4 linked regions of the Caenorhabditis elegans genome follow. The protein of the gene in region 3 interacts with the protein of the main gene of each other region in a pairwise test. Each region holds a gene or a part of one and is shown on either strand. Other genes may lie near its edges. The genes, in order: R02F2.5, lin-5, pat-12 and abl-1.

Region 1 (3,681 bases), 4.7 Mb from region 3:
AGTTTTCTATTTTCGTTAAATATTTTCAAGTTTTCGTATTTTTGCAGAAGGACCTAGAGTCCGCAGAAAACAGTATAACAGTATAAACTTTTTCTTGTAAAAAGATTTCCCCTTTTTTAAATTGTTTTGAAACTTATGATTTTCAAGGAGATATAGCTGTTCAAAAGTGACCCCCTTCAAATTTGCTAGATGATTTGAAACTCAATTTGAGCAATTTTCTTAGTTGACAACTTTTGGTATTGCTGATTTTCATTAAAAAATTGGAACTCAGTTCTTATTTTACCAAAAATTAAATATTAATTTTCACTGAACTCCTTATTCCAGATGCCAGCTTTCACCTGGGCTTCCGGTGACAATGGAAAATGCTCCAACTGCCCAGCAAATGCTCCAGCCTGCTACCAAGGGCTCTGCTACATGCCAAAGAACTACGAGGCTCCGACTACAACAACGGAATCCACCACAACATCTACAACAACTGAGGAACCAACGACAACTTGTGAGCCCGATGAACCAGAAGCTGAGGGAGCTGACAATAATCAAGAAGAAGAAGAAGAAAACAACGACGGGTTCCGAATGAGAGTTTAAGCTTCTTTCATGGTACCCTACCTTCTCCCACATTTAATACCGGATGAACTACTTGGATTGCTTACCGAACGGGTGTGCATACCGCTGCATTTATTTATTCATTTATATATATAGGTGTATGTGTATGTATTGGTGATATACCGAGATTTCTACGAATTGATGATATTCAATAAAAACTACAGTACAATTCTATCGTTTTTATCAACGTTTTTATCAGCGTTATTATCAACATTTTCAGGTCCATACACCATTTTGAGCCTACAAGCCTATCCGCCTATCTCACTCCCTCGTGCCTACCTGTGTTTGCCTTCGCGCCTTCCTTGTTAACCCCTATTTTCGTGAATGTTAGCTGTCTCAAATTGAACTTCATTCGTGCCTAAATAATAATAATAAAAATCTGGAAAAAAATAATTTAAAAAGTCGAAAAGTTTAACATTTACGTGTAAAACTTTCCAAAAATCAATTTCAAACTCAAAGAAATTCATTTCTGAAAGCCGTGAGAAAATGGGATGCTGCGGTTCAAAAAACAAGCAGAATAGTAGGAATTCAAATCGAAATGGACAACAAATGGTAGGTACTGTAGGATTACGCTCTGCAGAACCAAGTTTCGATTGGTTTACTGTAGTGGTACGGTAGCGGGTTTCATAGGTTTATTGCAAGATTACGGTAGCTCATCGTTGTAATTACAGTGTTACTGTAGTAATACTGTACTTGTACGCTTAAGCTTGCATCAGCTTTCGCTGCGAACTCTTTTGAAACCAAAGTACTACGTGTTGTTAGGGGTACGGTTGGCGCAGGTTTATTACCTGGTTACTGTAGAGTCACTATAGTTTTGCACACCTTTTACAATCTCGACAGCATTCATTTTTAGAGATTCCTCGTCTCAAAAACTATATTTTCAGAATCAAACCGGAACCCAATCAGGCCCCTATCCTGCCCAGAATCAACCTCAGAATAGGAATCAACCTCCACCTCCACCTCGACAGCAGCAGCAGCAACAAGCTCCACCTCCCAATGGACAGAAGCCTCCACAACCTCAACGTCAACAACCGTCTCCAGGTCTCCCGTACCAGCCACAACCGCCTCCTGCGTATGGGGCTCAACAGCCATACTATCCACCGCAACAGCAAGTCGTAGTGGCTGCTCCTCCGCCAGTGGTCATTGTGGATCCTTATCCATGTTATGGAGGTGGAATGTACTACGGTGATCCATTCTATTGTGATCCGTTTATGTTTTAATCGAGATGTCAAATGAAAAGTAAGAAGAAGATGAAGTGACTTGAAAATATTTCCGATAAGAAATAATTGATAATTGATCCTTTTTTTGCAATAAAAATAGTCTGAGATTGTTTTCTAAAAATTAGTTAATCGGTCCGAAACTGGCAAATTGATCCACCAAAATTTATCCACGGGAAGTGTCGACTGCTGGCATTAGAAAAAGGAAAGTGTCGGCCGCTTCCATTTCTGCGTGAACGCCTTGCAGTTATTTTTTTGGAAATGATTTATTTTTCAAATGTTCAAACTTGCCGCTAAAAAATTTTATTCCCAACTTACTTTATAATCAAAAGAACTCAAATATATCGATGAAAAATGGGATGCTGTCAATCGAAGAAAGCTAGAAATAATCAACGGAACAACCAACGCTCGGACCAAATGGTAAGTCTCCAAGTTTCATATGAGGTGACCGTGCCTGCCTATAATCCCTGTTCCGGGTTCCATAAAAAAAACTGAATAGACACAAGGCAGACGAAGGTCGCCTTGAAGTCAAGCTCAAGAACTCCTCCTTGTACCTCAACTTTTCAGAATCGTCAGCACACTCAACCATCTCCAAACGCCTCGACAGAGCAAATGGTAGGGAAAATCGATAATTTTCCGAAAATCAATAAAAGAAAATATCGATTTTTCAGGCATACCCTCGACAGCAGCCTCAAGGGATCCCACAGGGACCTCCACCGGCCTACGCACCTCCAGCAGCACCGAAAGCTCCTGAGAAAGTCGTGGAGCCCAAAAATAGGAGAGTAACGATTGCAGAACCACCGGAGAGAGTTGCGGAGCCATCACCAACGCCTGAAGATCCAGAGCTTTTTACTTGCATCGACCAAACGGAGAAAGAGGTTGAAAAGGAAGTGGAGAAGAGAAAGTCTGCTCCGCGAGCCCCAGTCCCGGCACCTACACCAGCTCCTCAGGCAGCTCCCCAGGCAACTCCGGCTGCACCTGCTCAAGCTTACCCTCAACAACAACAAGCTGCTCCCGTGGTCTATGGATCCCAACCAATGGTCATGGGTGCTGCTCCGGTGGCTCCAGTTGTCATGGCTCCGCCGCCAGTGATCATGAGCCCTTATCCATATTATGGAGGTGGTGTTATGTTCGACCCATATTATAATGGATTTTATGGAGGATATGGATACGGAGGTTTTGATTTCGGGTATGGAGGATATGGTGGTTATGGATGCGGATTCTATTGACTTTTTTGAACTCTTTTGTGTTTTTTTGGAATAAATTTTTTAATTGAACACTTAAAAATCAACAGAACAAGATGAACAATCAACAACATAAAAATGGATATTATAACAAAAAAAACAATTAATAAATTCGCTTCGAAGCCCTCGTGATCGTAGAAAGGAACTTCTTGTATCGGGTTCTCTCAACAACTGGAAGATTCGTGGCGAGCAACGCGGATGCATTTTTATCGGCCAGTGAATGTAGTTTTGACATGGCAAGTAGACTGTCTGATCCATAGAATACTGCGTCTCCAATGATTGATGCAGTCAGCTGAAGAATAAAAATTTAGACCGTTTTTGAGAATAATTGAAGGTTTTTTTAAAATTTCAATTTAGTCGTTTTTCTTGGTAACTTTTACCAAAACATACTCAACAAGCTCCCCCTAATTTCGAAAATTAATAAGTTGACAGAATTTTTAAAAAAAATCGAGTTCGAGAAGAAATAGTGATTATTACAGATTATTTAAAATTAAAATGTCTATTTTCTTCTTTAAAAAAAAGGGAAATTTCTCAAGAAATACTAGTTCTCATTTTTATCAATTTGACAATCCTGAAAAAAAAGATAAAACGTTTTAAAATGGGTTTTCAAAAAAGAA
Region 2 (5,593 bases), on a different chromosome or scaffold from region 3:
GTGAAAGTAAACATGTTTCAGGAAATCGATCTAACTCACACTCGCGCTGATCACATTCCAGATCTTACTGGATTTCCGAAAATAGAGGTAAGAATACTTCAGAAATACGTGTGTAAATACAATGATTATATTCAGGAACTGAGAATGCGCAATAATCTTCTGGTTTCAATTAGCCCCACAATTTCTTCGTTAGTTACTTTGACATCCCTGGATTTGTACGAAAATCAGTTGACCGAAATTTCGCATCTCGAATCACTCGTAAATTTGGTTTCTCTTGATCTGAGCTATAACAGGTGAAGAATTTAAGAAACTTTTATTTCAATAATAACTTTCAGAATACGCCAAATCAACGGCTTGGATAAATTGACAAAGCTCGAGACTCTTTACCTTGTCAGCAATAAAATTGAAAAAATCGAAAATTTAGAAGCTTTGACGCAGCTCAAACTGCTCGAACTGGGAGATAATCGGTAAATATGGAATGTTTCAACATCAAAATCACAAATTGTGTTCAGAATCAAGAAAATCGAGAACATTGGTCACCTTGTAAATTTGGATGAATTATTTATCGGCAAAAATAAAATTCGTCAGTTGGAGGGAGTGGAGACCTTGCAGAAGCTCAGTGTTCTCAGCTTGCCGGGAAATCGTATTGTGAAAATTGAAAATGTTGAGCAACTGAATAATCTGAAGGAACTTTACCTCAGTGATCAGGGTCTACAAGATATTCATGGCGTCGAACCTCTGGTAAAAAGCAATTCAAAATACACTGAGAAATGGGTCTTTTTTGCAGACTAATTTACTTCTTTTGGATGTTGCAAATAACGAAATCAAAACGTTCAGTGGCGTTGAAAGACTAGAAAGTCTTAATGATTTCTGGGTAACCGAGACATTTTACGTTTCTTCTATATCTTTTATTATTGCAGGCAAACGACAACAAAGTGGAAAGCTTCTCCGAAATTGAGCAACTTTCAAAGTTAAAGGGTCTTCAAACTGTATACTTGGAGAGAAACCCGTTCTATTTCAATGATACAAACCAATATCGCAGAAAAGTTATGATGACCCTCACCCAAGTAACTCAAATTGATGCTACTACGTGCAGAAAGCCAATTGAATAACTCTCGGACGCTTCCAATAAATATCCGTTTGCTTTTCTTATCCATGATAATCTTTCATAAATATGTATCAGTTTGCTTCATTGTTTGATATTGAGAACAAAGTGTAAGGTTATTAAGAGGAATCGCAAATGAATCATAATCGACCTCCATATGGGCGAAGCCAATCGAAATGGCCAGATATTATCAGCTAATGAAAATTTAAAAAAAAAACGACTAATCAAGAGTTTGAAAAAGGTTTCATACTTTGAGAATAATGCAGTAGTTTTTAGACGGTGCGGTGAGATTTTAAGAAGAAATTATTTATTCTTCTCGCTAAATAAATATGAACCAAAACCAACTTTCCATGCCTGAAAACTTAAAGTGTGTCAATTACAGAGCTTTTCTTTTGAGAACAATCAAGAAGTTTCCTCGAAAAGTATTAAACATATATGAAATGAAAGCTACTGTAAGATTTTTTGTTGTGAAAATAAAGATTTTATTGGAAGGCGCACTTAACTTTGTCCCCTAAAAAAGGAATGTTCTTTCTTTGTTTTCATTAAATAATTTCAAACTCAGCAATGTGTATACGGTTTTTTTAAAAGGCGCATGCACATAATCTTTCACATGGTTTTATAAATAAAGAATGAAACCATTTTCGCGCGCGCGCGCATTTTTGGTTTTATTTTTCATGTTAGATTCCTCTAATGTTCATTTCAATCAGTGTGTCATCCCACTTTTTAACAGCTTCATTTTTATTTATTATTCGTCCTTTTAATATTTTTTTGGTAGACTTGTGCATGTTGACCTGCAGGTCCATGGAAAAATTGTCATTTGAATTCCCGCTGTTTTTAGAAGTGTCGTGAGAAAAGTGTACGAGCATGGTGTAAGAGACGCAGACATTCTGCGTGCGTCTTTTAAATATTCTTCGTTTATGTATGCGTTCTCTCTCGTTCTTTCGCTCAACCACTCGCATTTTCTTTGAATAATTACTCCTTCTGCAGAATGAGCGTGAGCACATCAGTTGTGAAGTCAATGCTACAATTGACGAACTATTTTGGCTCCAATTTCACACCGAAGACGGAGACAATCAGCTCATTAGCCGAGCTTTGGGAGAGGCACGGGAGTATGATCGCCAGTATGATGTAAGTAATAGCTCATTCATAAACAATTTCATATTTTATTTTTCAGGTCATGCGACACTCGGGAGTTTGGCACAGCTGACAAATTCTATGAAGTTATCTTCCGCAAAATCGCCACAACGAGTCTCAGCTTCATGACCGATTCATTGGAACCGAAGCTTGCAGCGAGCGGAGATTCACTGGAGATTTGCAAATTCTACGCTCTGTTTCTCGAGTATATGAGAAAGGATCACTCGGGAATGCTCACTCGCGCATTGGAGCAAGCGTCATCAGAGAATCGCGTCGACACAGCTGTGCTTCTTGATATGTTTTTGTTTTTCGACAACGTGTATTCGGAAAGTACCGCTGACGACTGGTGGGCATGTCTTCGGAGAGATGACGAAGATCAGGAAGCATCCAGTGGCTTCAGGACTCCGAAAAGGAACAACTACAGCTTGACATCATTGCAAACACCAACAGCTACTGCCCGGCGACTACGCACAGCTTCCTCAACTGCTCGGCGAAGCCCTATAGCGGAGGCTGTCGATTCCCCTACCATGAAGTTCATGCGAAGCGAGCGGGAGCTGAAGCAGTCTAAAGCGAGAATCTTTGGTTTGGAGCAAATGTTAGGAGACCTTGAAGATGACAAGACCAAGTTATCGGCTGAGAACAGAACTTTGAAGCTTTCGTAAGTAAAATGGTACATTGAATTTAAAATATGGAGAAAATATTTTAGGAATTCCGATCTGAAAAGCGACATCGCTAAACTGAAAGGTATCGCCGAGGAGGCACAATTTCGTGCTGAAGAATTGAGCTGTGATCTCGAAGCCAAAAAGGATGAAGTCCACAACATTCTCCAACAACTCAATGAATCTCGAATGACGTTGAGATCCGAGCAAAGAAGTCTGGAGGAAGCTGACATAAAGAAAGAGAATCTTACTGCTAAGCTGAAAACGGTGACCGAAGACAATGGGAAGCTCATGAAGCAGGCCAGAGAGCTTCGAGATCTCAACGACTATGAATTCGCTAGATTCCGTCAGCAGGAACAGGAGCTTACTGAGACTCTTCGGGCGACGCAGGACCAAATGGCTGACCTCCAGGAACAACTTACCGGAGTGGAAAAAATAAGAGCGTCTCTGAAATCTGAAAACGAGAGCCTTTCTGCCAGTGTTGAGGAGTTGAGTGTTGCTTCATTGAGAAACAAACAAGATGCTGACAACTCTAAAACTATGCTTTCCGAGGAACTGGCGCGTTTTGAAGAGACTGTGGACAAACTCCGACAAGAAAAGCTTGAAGCGTTGAGCATGGCCAACTCCAGAATCGATGCTCTTCGTTTGGAACACTCGGAAAGAGAGAAAATGATGAAATCCACGAATGCACGCCTTCAGGCTGACCTTGACGAAGAGAGGAACGAGAAAAAGCGCTTGATGAATCTCTGGAATGAACTGAATGAAAAGTCCCTGAATGTCGACAAAGCTGTACATAAAAGCAACGAAGAATTTCAGTCAATGGGTTCTTGTCTTCAAAATGCGAAAAGACAAATTGAGCAGTTGGAAGTTGCGTGCAAGAGTAAGGACGATATCATCAAATTTCAAGAGGAGCAGAACAAACGAGCTGCCAATCTGATAAAGAATGAAAAGGCAATACGCGATCAGGCCTCAGCTCAATTTGCCGAGAAGTTGGCAATTCTCAAGAATTCTCTAGCGGAAAAAGAGAACGAAACAGTCACCCTTAAAGAAAACTTCGCAAGTGTGGTAATGAAGCATAAAGCCGAATTGGAGGAGAAAGAGGTTTGCTTGTTGAATATCAAATTGAATACAACATTACTTACTTTTTAGCTGTTCCTTCAATCTAGAGTGGATCTGATTCAACGTCTCGAGCACGAAGTTGCAGATCTTCGAGAGAAGGAAAGCGCCGAGATTAAGAAATCCACCTGGATGGGTGAGAGAATCAGTGAGTTCATATTTAACGTTTCGAAATTGAATTTTCAATCTTGTTTTTCAGAAATCTTCCAACAAGCTCCAATGAGAGGTTCGAGAATCAGATGCGGTTCGCCAGACAGCTTGCCAGACTTCCTCGCCGATAATGGACCAACAATTACCGAAGAAGAATTGCGAGCACAGCTTGCCACGTTCCCAAGAAAATCGATTGCTCCTAGTGTGGACGACAACGAATTCGATAAAGGAACACCGATTGGATTCAAGTCGAATATGGTAATCAGTTTATTATTATGCAACCTCAATTTTGTGAGACGAGACAATTTCTTATATAGACGAGACAATTTCTTACCACAAATATTGTCCAGAACGTTCAATTTTCAGTACGATGGACGTGAGTCAATTTGCTCTTTGGATTTCTTCGACCGGTCTAGTCTTCAACGTTCGTCGATGCGATCGGAATCTATCCAATTGGCATCGCCATCATCAGCTGGAGAGTTCAAGCAACCATTCACACCATCCGGAGTAACCAAGGAAAGAGTTGGAGTGCTCACTGCCAGAAACGAGAAAGTGAAGCCACACCTAAAATGCTCGTACGCCTCTGAAGTTGGAAGTACGAATTCGCCATCCGCAGACGAGGAGAATATCAAGAAGTCCAAGAAAAAGAACCGTCGGGATTCGATTTTTTCTGCTTTTTCGAGCAAAAAGCAGTAAAATATACTTTCATACATTGTAATATAACTTTTTCACAACACACTTTTGTTTTATGTTTTGCTCCGTGTTGTATCCTATTTTATCTATTTTACAATTCCTTTCCTAACGATCGCTGAGAAATGAAGAAGTTTCTTATTTTTTATGTGTTCTTGTGAAAATGATTGTTTCATCGCAGTTCTATTGTAAGAATCAGGCCCTTTTCCTTCACAAATCATCGTGCCGACCAGGGGTGTGCGGCGAATATTAGCCGAATTCGCCGTTCGCCGATGATTTTTTCGATTCGCCGAGTTCGCCGTTAGCTGAAAATTTTGAAAATCGGCGTTCGCCGAATTCGCCGTTCGCCGAAAAATCGCCGAATTCACCGTACGAGAATCGGCGAACTCGCAGAGCGAAATTCGCCGTTCGCCGAAAATTTCAAAAATCGGCGAGCGCCGAATTCGCCGATCGCCGAAAAATTCGATTCGCCGCACACCCCTGGTGCCGACGCGTCCCCGTTTGAATTGCCGCCCAGCCGCCGTGGTCGCATTCTCCGCGCCGAGACCCATCGTCGATAAAGGCTGCTCCTTTAACCGCCGAACGCCTAGATATATAAGCTGAGGATCGCTCATTCTGGATCATTTCTTAACCTTTTATAAGTTACGTGTCTTATTGCTCCTTTCTCCCGTTTACTTGTTGCGACATTGCCATACGTCTGTCCCTTTATACTAATAAATGCTTGTAAGATAAACCTCGC
Region 3 (5,175 bases):
GCTTCTTTTTGTTCTTGAATTTTCTTTGTCCAAGCGTTAAATTCGTCCTAAAAATCAAATGTGTCTCAAACTTAAAGGACGGTAGTACTTACCGTCACATTGAATGCCTTGGCCCAGATTGTGAGCTGCTCATTTTGCTGATCTTGAGAGAGTTGATCGTTACTAACAATGTCGAAGAACTCTTTTCTAGCAAATCTAGGCACATGCATCAAGAATCTAGGGAACAATGGTCCATCGGGAGATGGACGTTGAGCTTGTTGCCCACCAAATTCTAGTTCCGATGAGTCTTCGGAAAGCTGCGCCAAACAAGGGATAAGTAGTGCGGAGAGCACAATGAGCAACCTCATCGTTTGCTGGAAAATCTAGAAGTTACGGCGACCAAAGAAAAATTTGAGGAAAAGGGAAAATTAAACGGTTTCTTTCTCAAAGTTCCCAGTTGACTCCTTAAATACTTTAGGCCTAGTCTACCTGATCGCGATGTGTGTTCCTTTGAGCACACACGGTCATTTTTTCCTACAACGTTAGAAAGTAAACTTCTGCGTGCGCGCGCGCAAGCACGGAGCCAGAGAAAAACAGTCTCACTACCTAAGAAAGCCGATCATGGGGTCACTAACCTGGAAAATAGTTGAGCATTTGTGGAGGGTAACGAGGCAATCAACAAACAACCTGGCTTTCTCCTTCCGCATTTGAGATCCGCATCAATTTAGTTAAGGGGGAGGGAGGAAAGAGAGAAAGTTCAAATTTTGTAGTTTTTCAAAAATCGTGTAAATACAATTAACTTTAGGGAACTTTTAGAAGAAAGTGCAACTTACGACAAAAAAATCACAGTGATCAGCGCCAGATTGCGTCGCGAGAAACGTTTATTTTACAAAATCATTAGGCTCTGTATAAGTGACTCATTATTTTAAACTTATTTGTTGGTCTCAATATACTTTTCTCTTACAGGTTATCACAAATGCTAACATGCCATATATCTCCACGAGAATTCCGGATCCCCGCCGGAACCTAGCCGGAGACTTCCCAAGTGAGCATAGCAAGTCGAAGATCAAACTTGATCCGCTCGAGCAACGTCGGTTCAGAGTAAGCCGTACTTTTGAAGACTGAAATAAAATTTTATATCATGTTCAGAGCAGTGAATCGCGTCCAATCACCACCAGCAACTATCTCGCCGAGAGTGTCGATCGCCATCGTGAGATGGAAGCATCCCGGCTCAGAGAGTATTTGAAGGTGATTTTAATTTAATAAAGTCATGAAATTATAAAATTAAACGTTCTAGGCAAAGGAAAACGAAGCCAATCAGCCATGGAACAAACCAGGGTGGCCTGGACCAAAGAAGAATGATGAGAGCCTGAGGGAGCTTGAAACCATGAAACAGGTGAGCATGCATAGCACTGCATGAAAAGTATAGTTAAAAAGTAATTCGGAGTTCCGCATAAATCTAGGTATTCAAATAGTTAAATTAGAAAATATAAGGAAAATTTGGCAATACATCACAAATGTATTACACAAAGCCTACAAGTGATGACCAACAAACTTTGTCGAACCCTTGAAAAAAAAAATTTATTTTAAGATTGTTAAATACATTTTCAAAAATCGACCCGATTACCCAGTTGACAAAATTAAGAGATGTCATTGGTTTAGGGTTACCTTATTCACACTAGAACATTTTTTATAATTTTGTTTCCAGAGAATCGAGACGCTGAAAAGAGTAAGTCTATATCCCCTTTCTTGCATGTTTGTTTGTCTTCCTGTTTGTCCTTATGTGCATGTTATACTGTGTTGTCCCTCCTTTAAAAAAGATATCCCTGGCTTGGAAACGACAACACATGGATCCTCCTACTACCTACTGACCAACTTCCCTGAAACTACACGGTGTGGTGTGAAGCGTAATAGTGTGTAGAGAGCCGTCAGCCGAAATTCAGAAAACTTCCCAATCGATGAGCGATTTGTCAGTCTTGCCTACGCCGTCACAATTCGAGCAGCTAAATCCGGTGAGTAGACGGGGATGTTTTCGGGTACTCCAGGTTTTCAAAACGGAGCATTCGTTGAACAATAAATGAGTTTTCAGCAACCTCAAGCTTCTCCAATATCTCCGGGAGATTCTGGATGGCTGATCAAAATGCGCAAAAATCGATATTTGGATCACACCTCAAAGGTGAATGAGCCTAAGAAGTACAGATCAATGGACCAGCTTCCGACTGGAAAAGTAAGCCCCTGTCTATACTCTCAACCCAAAAAATCTCAACTAATGAGATCCACCAAAAAATTTGCGTCCTGCGCTCTACGCCAAATCGAATAGTGTCTCTGCCGAAGAGTTTTCTCTCGCTTAACACATCTCTCCTTCGATCGAATAGAAGCCTCTTGAAACTTCCGCCGACGCACACACAAACTGTATGTGTGGCTGCTGGAGGCTCTGCGCGGCGAGAGAGGGGGCTTGACGGATAGAATTTGAAACTCTTTTCTTTTCCTCTTTACTCCTCCTTCATTTTTATGAGGATTTTCCTTTTTTTTGAAATTTTTTTTAATGAGTAGGTTTTTTTTAGAGGTTTTCAGGTTAAAGTTGTAGGAATTTTTTGTTTCTTGTTAAAAATGATGCATAACGAGACTAAGGCTTAGTCGTAGTTTAAGGCTCAGACTTAGGGTGCAGTGTAATCCGTTTAAGCCTAACTATAAGATAAACATTATTCTTAGGTGTAGGTATAAGCATAGGCTTAGGCTCAGACTTAGGCGTATGTATAAGCTTAGACTTAGGCCTATGTTTAGGCGTAGGTATATGCTTAGGTTTAAGCTTAGGATTGTACTTAGAATTATGTTTAGGCTCAAACTTAGGTTTTGTCTTGATCATACAGTCTTAAGATCAAAATGAAAGGAAAAGTGTTCATTGCATATATTCCTTTTTAGTTAACTTTCAGTTTTTTTTCAAAATTGTTATTGCCTAAAAATAAGACTAAAATTCAGTATTGGTTGAGGTTTTTAATTTCTTGGTGACAAAAAAAAAACGAACTAATCTAGTTTGATATTCCAAAATAATCATGTTCGACCATCATATGTTATTTCCTTTTCCATATTTGATGCTTTATTTTTTTTTTAGAAAATCCTATTGACTTTGAACCTTCATTGCTTCCTTATCTTCACTCTATCTCTTACCGCAATCATAAATTGTTTGTTTCGAAGTTTGTTCGGAGCAGCAGTAGCAGGCGCCCGCGCTCGCGCACCTCCCACAATAATTGTCGGTGTATGCGTGGGGGTGATGCTTTGACTGTTGAATCAGTAATCCGAAATAAAAACAAAGCAATTTTCGAATTGAACAACATTGAAACAAATTGCCTAAAATACAAACAGTTTTGATTACAGGTTGGTGCACCCGACAACGAGAAGTCGGAAGGTACAGATCCGCTGCACTGGCAACTGAGGAAAGACTTCCATTTGGCTAAGTATTCGGTATGTTTTAGTTGGTAACAATTTTGAATATCTGAAAAATTGTAAATTAAGGATCTAGTGAACCAATGTATCAAACCATTAGAATTACAACGATCAGACTTACCTAGTAAATAGTCATCTCCAAAAGGAGTATCTTCAAAGCTAAAAAATGTCCAAGTCGAGAAATAGGTTAATTAATTACAACTTTAGCAAGTCTTGAAGTCCAATTCATAGCTTAAAACATAAGGATCTACCCCGAATTCTATTTTTTTACTGCATAGGAGTTCTACAACGACCCAGGAGATCTTATAAAATTATAGTACTCTCTGGAGCTGTTTTTAAGGCCTAATAACTTTTCTATGCCACCACTATGTATTATATGAAAGTGAAATAAATATCGAAAATTCTACTTTAGTTTGTTAAAATTCACTTCAACTTCTGAAAAGATTATATTAGTGTAACAAACGCACTTGGAGTCAGAATGTCTCAATTCAGTTTGATCTTCAAAAAATGCGGGAGGTAAGACACAGACATCTGATTTTTTTGTATGATTGAGCGTGCTGACACCACAATTTTTTTGGGAAAAAATTCCCGCATTTTTCGTAGACCACACTGTAATGGGAGAGCCTGACACCACCTGCAAACGTATTCCTAAACATTTACAGAAATTCGTTAAATCCCAGTCATCTCCACACATAGATGTATTTATCATTTCTCTGCAGTAGTTCTTAACCGTCATGCGTTCCGCGTCGTTCTTATGTTCCGCGCACCGGGGAAACACGCATTTGACCCGAATAGTGTGCTCATGGTGATAAGTGTTCATGCTCGTGCGTGCCTTAACCTCCTCCTCCCCTGTGTTGCTCCTGGCGCTTTTTGCTTCGTTTTGTCTTTCTCTCCACTATCCCTCGTTTTTAACATACGAAACAAGAAAGACAAACACATTCGTCAAAATCCTAGGAGTTCCCGGGTGCGTCTCTCCGACCTCTCACTAAGTCTCTGGCTCCCCATTATCCTCAAAAGCACTGTGTTTTTTTTCATTATTAGGTGCCAGAATCTAGGTTCAATCTTTTCAATTCTATTTCAATTTTTAAATTTGATGGTTGCAACCAAATGTTTCTCGGCGGAACAGCTTTAACATACCTATTGTTTCAAAAACTTTTGTGGTCAATAGACATAACTCTGAGCGCAAGGCACCCATCTCTAATCACTGTTGCTTCTGTTTGCTGGGCGGGTGAGAAAAATGTCCAACATTGTGTTGTACTTCTTTTTCAAAACCATTCTTTTTCATCGTTACACCAGCACTCTCGTTTCCTGCGTTTCTCACAATTTTGGGATTCTCTGTTTATTCGAGTACATACCGTAGTGGTCGGCTCTCGCTGCTCAACACTTCATTTTTTGCCCTCGAAAAGAGTTTTTTTGGAAAGTTGCAAATTCAAAAATCACGGAGATATTGTTTTGTTAACTTTTATTGGCGAAATCGATTTTTAAAAAAAATTCTCTAACAAGATACCTTTTCAAAATTAAAAAGTGTCCATCATTGAAATGATCTCATCTTTGACCAAATCTATAATTTTTATATTTATAGTTACTCTATTTTCTTTTCTCCCACTGAGATCTCGTCTTGCCTTATTGAAAAATCCTAGAGAATTATATAGAAAAGTTACTGACAATTAGGCTTCCATCCAAATATGTCCTCAACCAACGACGACAATACCGAACCGCCGTACTCGACAGTCAGGCAGTTACGAGCAGAAT
Region 4 (5,204 bases), on a different chromosome or scaffold from region 3:
CTTCATTCTATTGGCGTGTTCGGGATATTATCCTCTCCTCGCCAACCAGCAGCTACTACCAACTTTTTTGTCGATGTTCGTCTTCTCTTGTGTTTTTGTGTGTTCCCATTTAGTTTCAGTTTTTGTTCTGCGCATTTCACAAAACTTTACTATTTTCAAAGTTCTTCGACACGCAAAAAACTCTACAAAAGTTTACTTTCAACTTTTTTTCGTATTTGGATTTATTTTAGCTATTTTTTTTAACGACTGGTTTAAATAAAAATAGGATGGGAGAAATTTTAGTAGACTTAATATGTAAATGTGAAAGAATTTTAGTAGACTTAATATGTAAATGTGTAATTTCCAACAATTAAACGAGGAGAAAAGACGAAAAATAAAAAAAATTATCGAAAATAGAACACTTTGTCACCATCAAAATCACTAACACTAGCAAAATAGCACAGTTTCATAGTCATATTACATATGCATGTTATAACAACAAACCTATTTTCATCTTTTGAAAACCCTACACACAATTCCACTTTTTTATGGAGAAATACAACCACATATAATCTTTTGATTTCAAAAAGTTATTTGTAATTGCCAAGCATTCATTACTTGGAGATCACGTTTTCCAAAACATCTTCGTCAGCAATTATTAAAACTTGGGAGTTTTTTTAAAGAATTATTGTATGCATTAGAGTGCGTTCTTATTGAGTGTTTCAAGTATGGAATTTGTTCTCAATTAACAAATTATTCTTAAACACACAATTTAAAATTAGTGCTTCATGTACAATTATATAGTCCGTGAAACAATGCAAATCTCCAAAAATTTTTAAACTTATTTAAAACTTGATAGGTACTTTTCAGCATATTTTAGTCTAAGGAGCCCTTTTATTGTTTTCAAAATAGTAGGACAGCAATTTTCTAATGAGTTAGAATTCACTCAACCAACCCTCAGAGGCATACCGTACTGTTTCTTCAAAATTTTGATTCTTTTAGTTTTGATTTCCATTTAAAAAATGCGTCAATCTGAATACTACCTATTGTTCAACTTTTCTATTTCAAACTGCATTCCCATACTCTTTCGTCGCTCCAATTTTTATGGGACAAAATTGGCGGGGGTTTTGAGTACCTCCTGGCCTCTCGTCCCATTCTTTGTGATCACACTTTTTGTTTCATTTCACACTTCATCCCCACACTTTCAACCGATACGAATTCGTATCGCAGATTTGTATAAAACATAGCGAAAAAGGAACGGCGACAAGTTTTGATTGGTTTTACAATGCAAAACTTTTTTGTTTATTAATATGTATGGTCTTGTCAATAATTGTTAGATTTTAGATTTGTAATTGACAATTTGTTAATTGGTTTAAAACTATGGTTTTTGCGAATACACAAATATCCGAATAGCATAACTTTTTTTTAATTATTAAATCACCACAATTTTGTAAAACAACTAAAAACTAATTATATCCAGTTTAAACATTATCCATTCATTTCGTATGCATATAAGTTCAATCAGTTCAAAGTATTTGTAGTCTCTACTCCGCGTTTCCAATCTCCTCTAGCTTAGTACTATTTATCTGACAGGAACTGTTGTTATTGTTTGACTAGCGAATAGGCGTTAGTGTTGAACCAAGTGCGCAGTAATAAGCAGTGAACAACGAGTGAGAAGTATGCAAGCGCGCTCTGCTGGTCACTGGATGGGTTATGAGAAAAGAGAGGGCAGCCGGGTACTCGACACATACCTTCACACCAATTGCGCGTCCTTTCTTTTTTCCTCCATGTTCTTTTTTTTTTGTCTTCTTCGATTTTTTCTTTTTATTTCTTTTTTTTAATTCAAGCCAAACTTCATAATTTTCAGGCTTTTCTAACTTTGAAAACATCAAAACATTCTCCCATGTAGGACTTAACAAAAATGTGAGTTCAGTTCATTTCATAATTCTTCTCAAAAACTATAAGGCCATGGTATTTTGTTTATTTTAATTTTACGAACAACATATACTAATAAAGAAGAAAATGTTTTTCAGGGGTCATTCACATAGTACTGGGAAAGAAATCAATGACAATGAACTCTTCACATGTGGTAAGCATTTTGCGCTTGAAAATTGTGAAAATTACTTTTCAACTAAAAACAAATATAATTTCAACATTTGAGTTTGGCATTGGATTTCAAAAAAAAAATTGAATGGTATAATTTCATACCATTTGGAAAAATTCAGCCTTGAAAAATATTAACTTGACGAAACTAATGAATATTTGTTGATTCAAAAGTTTTCCTAAAAAAATGATTATTGTTTGAAACTCATTAAAAAAGTACTGATAAAGTTTACGATTGTTTCTGAAGTATCAGCTTTTGTTTTTCTATTTTTCAAAAAAAGGAAGCTGCTCTCAGTTTTGAAAGAAAATAAGGCGAAATTGTAAAATAAATTATACGTAAAGTATTATAAAACTAATATTTTGTAATTTCTCAGTTTCTCAAAAAAAAAAAGTTCATGTTAAAACATGAAAAACAGTATGTTAAGTTTTATGTATTGTTTTTAACGTTCCTTCTACTTTTCGATGAATTGTCACAATCTCATTCGAAATTGTCTGCCCACAATAAGGCCCTTCGAGTGTAGATGACAGATTCAGAACCGCTCTTAATGCTTTATGCGGTTAGGTTCTCTAATCCTCCAAGTGTTCGGTTCCCTTCGTATTCCCGTTCGCTGTAGATATATGCCGGAGAGGGTGTGGGGAGGGTGAGAGATCCTCTTCTAAAGTCACAAGTAAACGAGACGCGGAAGAAAACGAGAGTAGAGATAGTAATAGCTGGTATGGTGGATTGAAAGAGAGCATGAGTGGAAGACGGGACGCAGACAAACCAAGAGGTCACATCTCCCTTCCCTCGTCCGTCAACTCCCGGTCCCTAGTTTGAGGACAACGCATGCGTGATCCAAATATGGGAGACTATCCAATCAAGTGTATCTTCTCTACTCATCTAGAATAATTAGATCATAATTTTTTACAAACTACAATATTTATAAAATTATACACTTTTAAAAGGTTTAGGCATAATTTATTTGGGAAAGGAAGTTTGGAAGAATAGAAAAAAATGGAATAAATCCAGTTCCTCTCCCCTTTCCCGCTTTGCCGCCTCCCGGCAAAACGTCGCTTCTCCAACTTGTTATTCCAATTCAATAGGTTTCAATGCCATATTCGCAGTTATAAATGCTCGACCCCTATTGACTATTCGCATTTTATTCACTTCACTCCAGTTTTAACTAGATTTACCATTTCCCCCCATCTTTTTTCTCCCTGGGTCAGAGAAGCAGCTGGACTTGTGTTAGTAGTACGACGAATCGCCCTTCTTCTCGTTGACCAATTAGAAAATGTGCTCTGGCACATTTTCCTTTCTGTGTGGGACTGAGAACCACGGGGGACACCCAACCTCCTGTTCTTCATTCTTTCTATCCAATTTTTATGATGGATTTGGTGCGACGCGTATACAATGAATATAAACGTTCGCAAGTCCACACCCATTTTTACAATTCCCTAGACATTGACACGGCATGTGACAATATTGAATAGTTTTGCTAATTTTGTGTTACTCTCGAAGAAACGGCATTGTCTCTGCTTTTTTTGTTATCTGAAAAAATAAAATCAGTTAGGTGTTTCAGTAGAATTTTCAAAAATAATTTACATCAGACAAACCGAGCTGAACAACCAAAATATATCCTAAATCAGATTTGACGAAGTTCAGATCATTGATCTTTTTCATAACGTGATTAAACACAAAACTATAAAAGTTTTATGAAATAGAAAAGAGAATACTAATTTTAAAATCTTCCGGTTCCGGATTTGTGTATGTGTTTGCTTATCAAATCACAGTTCTTACATGTATTTTTTAAGTGAAAAATCTATTAGGTCTCCAAATAAGTTCCGGGTCAAAAATCATAACTTTGTTCTCTGTGTATCGATTTTTATGAAACTTTGGGAATTCATGTTATCAACAATGATCTTTCATTTGACATCAGTCACAAAATTTTTTGTCCACCCCAAGTGTCCTAACTCGGAGCCAATTTTTTCAGGCATTTTTCCTATCTCGCTTCTAAAAGAAGACCTTTGAATTGAGGTTTGTGTGCGGATTTCGCCTTGCTTAAAATACATTATTAGAAAACGACAAAATTTTAGAAAAAAATCCGTCCAAAAAATTTTTTTTTGGTTGGTCGTCAAAAAATGTTCAAAAAAAATTTTGTCGAAAGTTCTAGATTTTCCCTACAAAAATGATGTAAACAAGCGTGAACTATTTTTACACATACAAAACATATCAATTTATTTCGATACACCAAAATGTTAATAGAAAATATAATTTTTTCGGATAATTTTTGAGTTTTTTGAATATTTCTCGAGATTCAAATTTCAAACTAAAACGATTATTATATATTTAAAAAAAATTTTTTGGACGGATTTTTTTCTAAACTTTTGTCGTTTTCTAATAATGTATTTTAAGCAAAGCAAAATCCGCACACAAACCTCAATTCAAAGGTTAAAAGAAGCGAGATAGGAAAAATTCCTGGAAAAATTGGCTCCGAGTTAGGACACTTGAGGTGTACAAAAATTTTTGCGACTATTGTCAAATGAAAGAACATGGTTGATAACATAAATTCCCAAAGTTTCATAAAAATCGATACACAGCGAACAAAGTTATGATTTTTGACCCGGAACTTATTTGGAGACCTAATATAAACCTCGTTTCGAAGTTTTGAAAATTGTATACCGTATTTCTTCTATTAATATGACTGCAATACTATTGTTCGATGGTCTTCCCGCTTGCAATACTAATAGGGAGTGCAAGACTATTAGGGAGTGCAATATTAATTTTCAGAAAATTTTTCTGACTTTGAGCTTTCTGATTTTTTTTCTGAAAAAACTCGAACCTTGTGTGAAAGTGAAAATTTGATTGTAATTGCAACAAAAAGGTACAATAACTTCAATTTCATAAAAATTTTACCACAAATTGTTGCAAAGTAGGCAAAAAATGTTGTTAAAATCTCAAAATTAGTGAGGTGGGTCTGTACCAAAAAAAAAGTAGACGCAATACTATTAGGGAGTGCAACACTAATAGGGAGTGCAATACTAATTTTCGGAGGGTGTTCAAGGAGCAATACTAATAGGGAGTGCAAGTCTAATAGGGAGGCCATATTAATAGAAGAAATACGGTATATATCAAATATGTATTT

What was found.
Region 1: the proteins of pat-12 (region 3) and R02F2.5 interact in a two-hybrid assay, tested with the Caenorhabditis elegans proteins (2 studies listed by BioGRID).
Region 2: the proteins of pat-12 (region 3) and lin-5 interact in a two-hybrid assay, tested with the Caenorhabditis elegans proteins (2 studies listed by BioGRID).
Region 4: the proteins of pat-12 (region 3) and abl-1 interact in binary tests that used the Caenorhabditis elegans proteins (3 or more experiments, as listed by UniProt).

The regions. Positions count from the first base shown.
Region 1 is NC_003281.10:5,477,230-5,480,910, forward strand, and holds R02F2.5 (Prion-like-(Q/N-rich)-domain-bearing protein), read left to right. Parts: upstream 1-2,088; 5' UTR 2,089-2,174; coding exon 2,175-2,240; intron 2,241-2,387; coding exon 2,388-2,435; intron 2,436-2,491; coding exon 2,492-3,049; 3' UTR 3,050-3,099; downstream 3,100-3,681. Other genes in the region: Protein lon-1, read left to right, coding at 325-585; R02F2.10 (Prion-like-(Q/N-rich)-domain-bearing protein), read left to right, coding at 1,090-1,155, 1,488-1,823; R02F2.6 (uncharacterized protein), read right to left, coding at 1,453-1,695; R02F2.7 (Myb-binding protein 1A-like protein), read right to left, coding at 3,168-3,356.
Region 2 is NC_003280.10:7,858,567-7,864,159, forward strand, and holds lin-5 (Spindle apparatus protein lin-5), read left to right. Parts: upstream 1-2,092; 5' UTR 2,093-2,093; coding exon 2,094-2,233; intron 2,234-2,279; coding exon 2,280-2,897; intron 2,898-2,945; coding exon 2,946-3,999; intron 4,000-4,047; coding exon 4,048-4,162; intron 4,163-4,213; coding exon 4,214-4,422; intron 4,423-4,530; coding exon 4,531-4,860; 3' UTR 4,861-4,997; downstream 4,998-5,593. Other genes in the region: sds-22 (Protein phosphatase 1 regulatory subunit SDS22 homolog), read left to right, coding at 22-87, 136-293, 336-467, 513-741, 788-874, 921-1,112. UniProt on the Caenorhabditis elegans protein: Essential component of the spindle apparatus required for spindle positioning and chromosome movement. Acts to recruit or anchor gpr-1/gpr-2 complex to the spindle and cortex.
Region 3 is NC_003281.10:735,860-741,034, reverse strand, and holds the start of pat-12 (Protein pat-12), read left to right. Parts: upstream 1-2,056; coding exon 2,057-2,206; intron 2,207-3,354; coding exon 3,355-3,441; intron 3,442-5,175. Other genes in the region: idpp-1 (SXP/RAL-2 family protein Ani s 5-like cation-binding domain-containing protein), read right to left, coding at 1-47, 93-347.
Region 4 is NC_003284.9:10,620,843-10,626,046, reverse strand, and holds the start of abl-1 (Tyrosine-protein kinase abl-1), read left to right. Parts: upstream 1-1,857; 5' UTR 1,858-1,900; coding exon 1,901-1,902; intron 1,903-2,012; coding exon 2,013-2,068; intron 2,069-3,339; exon of another isoform or gene 3,340-3,464; intron 3,465-5,204. UniProt on the Caenorhabditis elegans protein: Functions downstream of migratory protein mig-13 and is involved in Q neuroblast migration during larval development.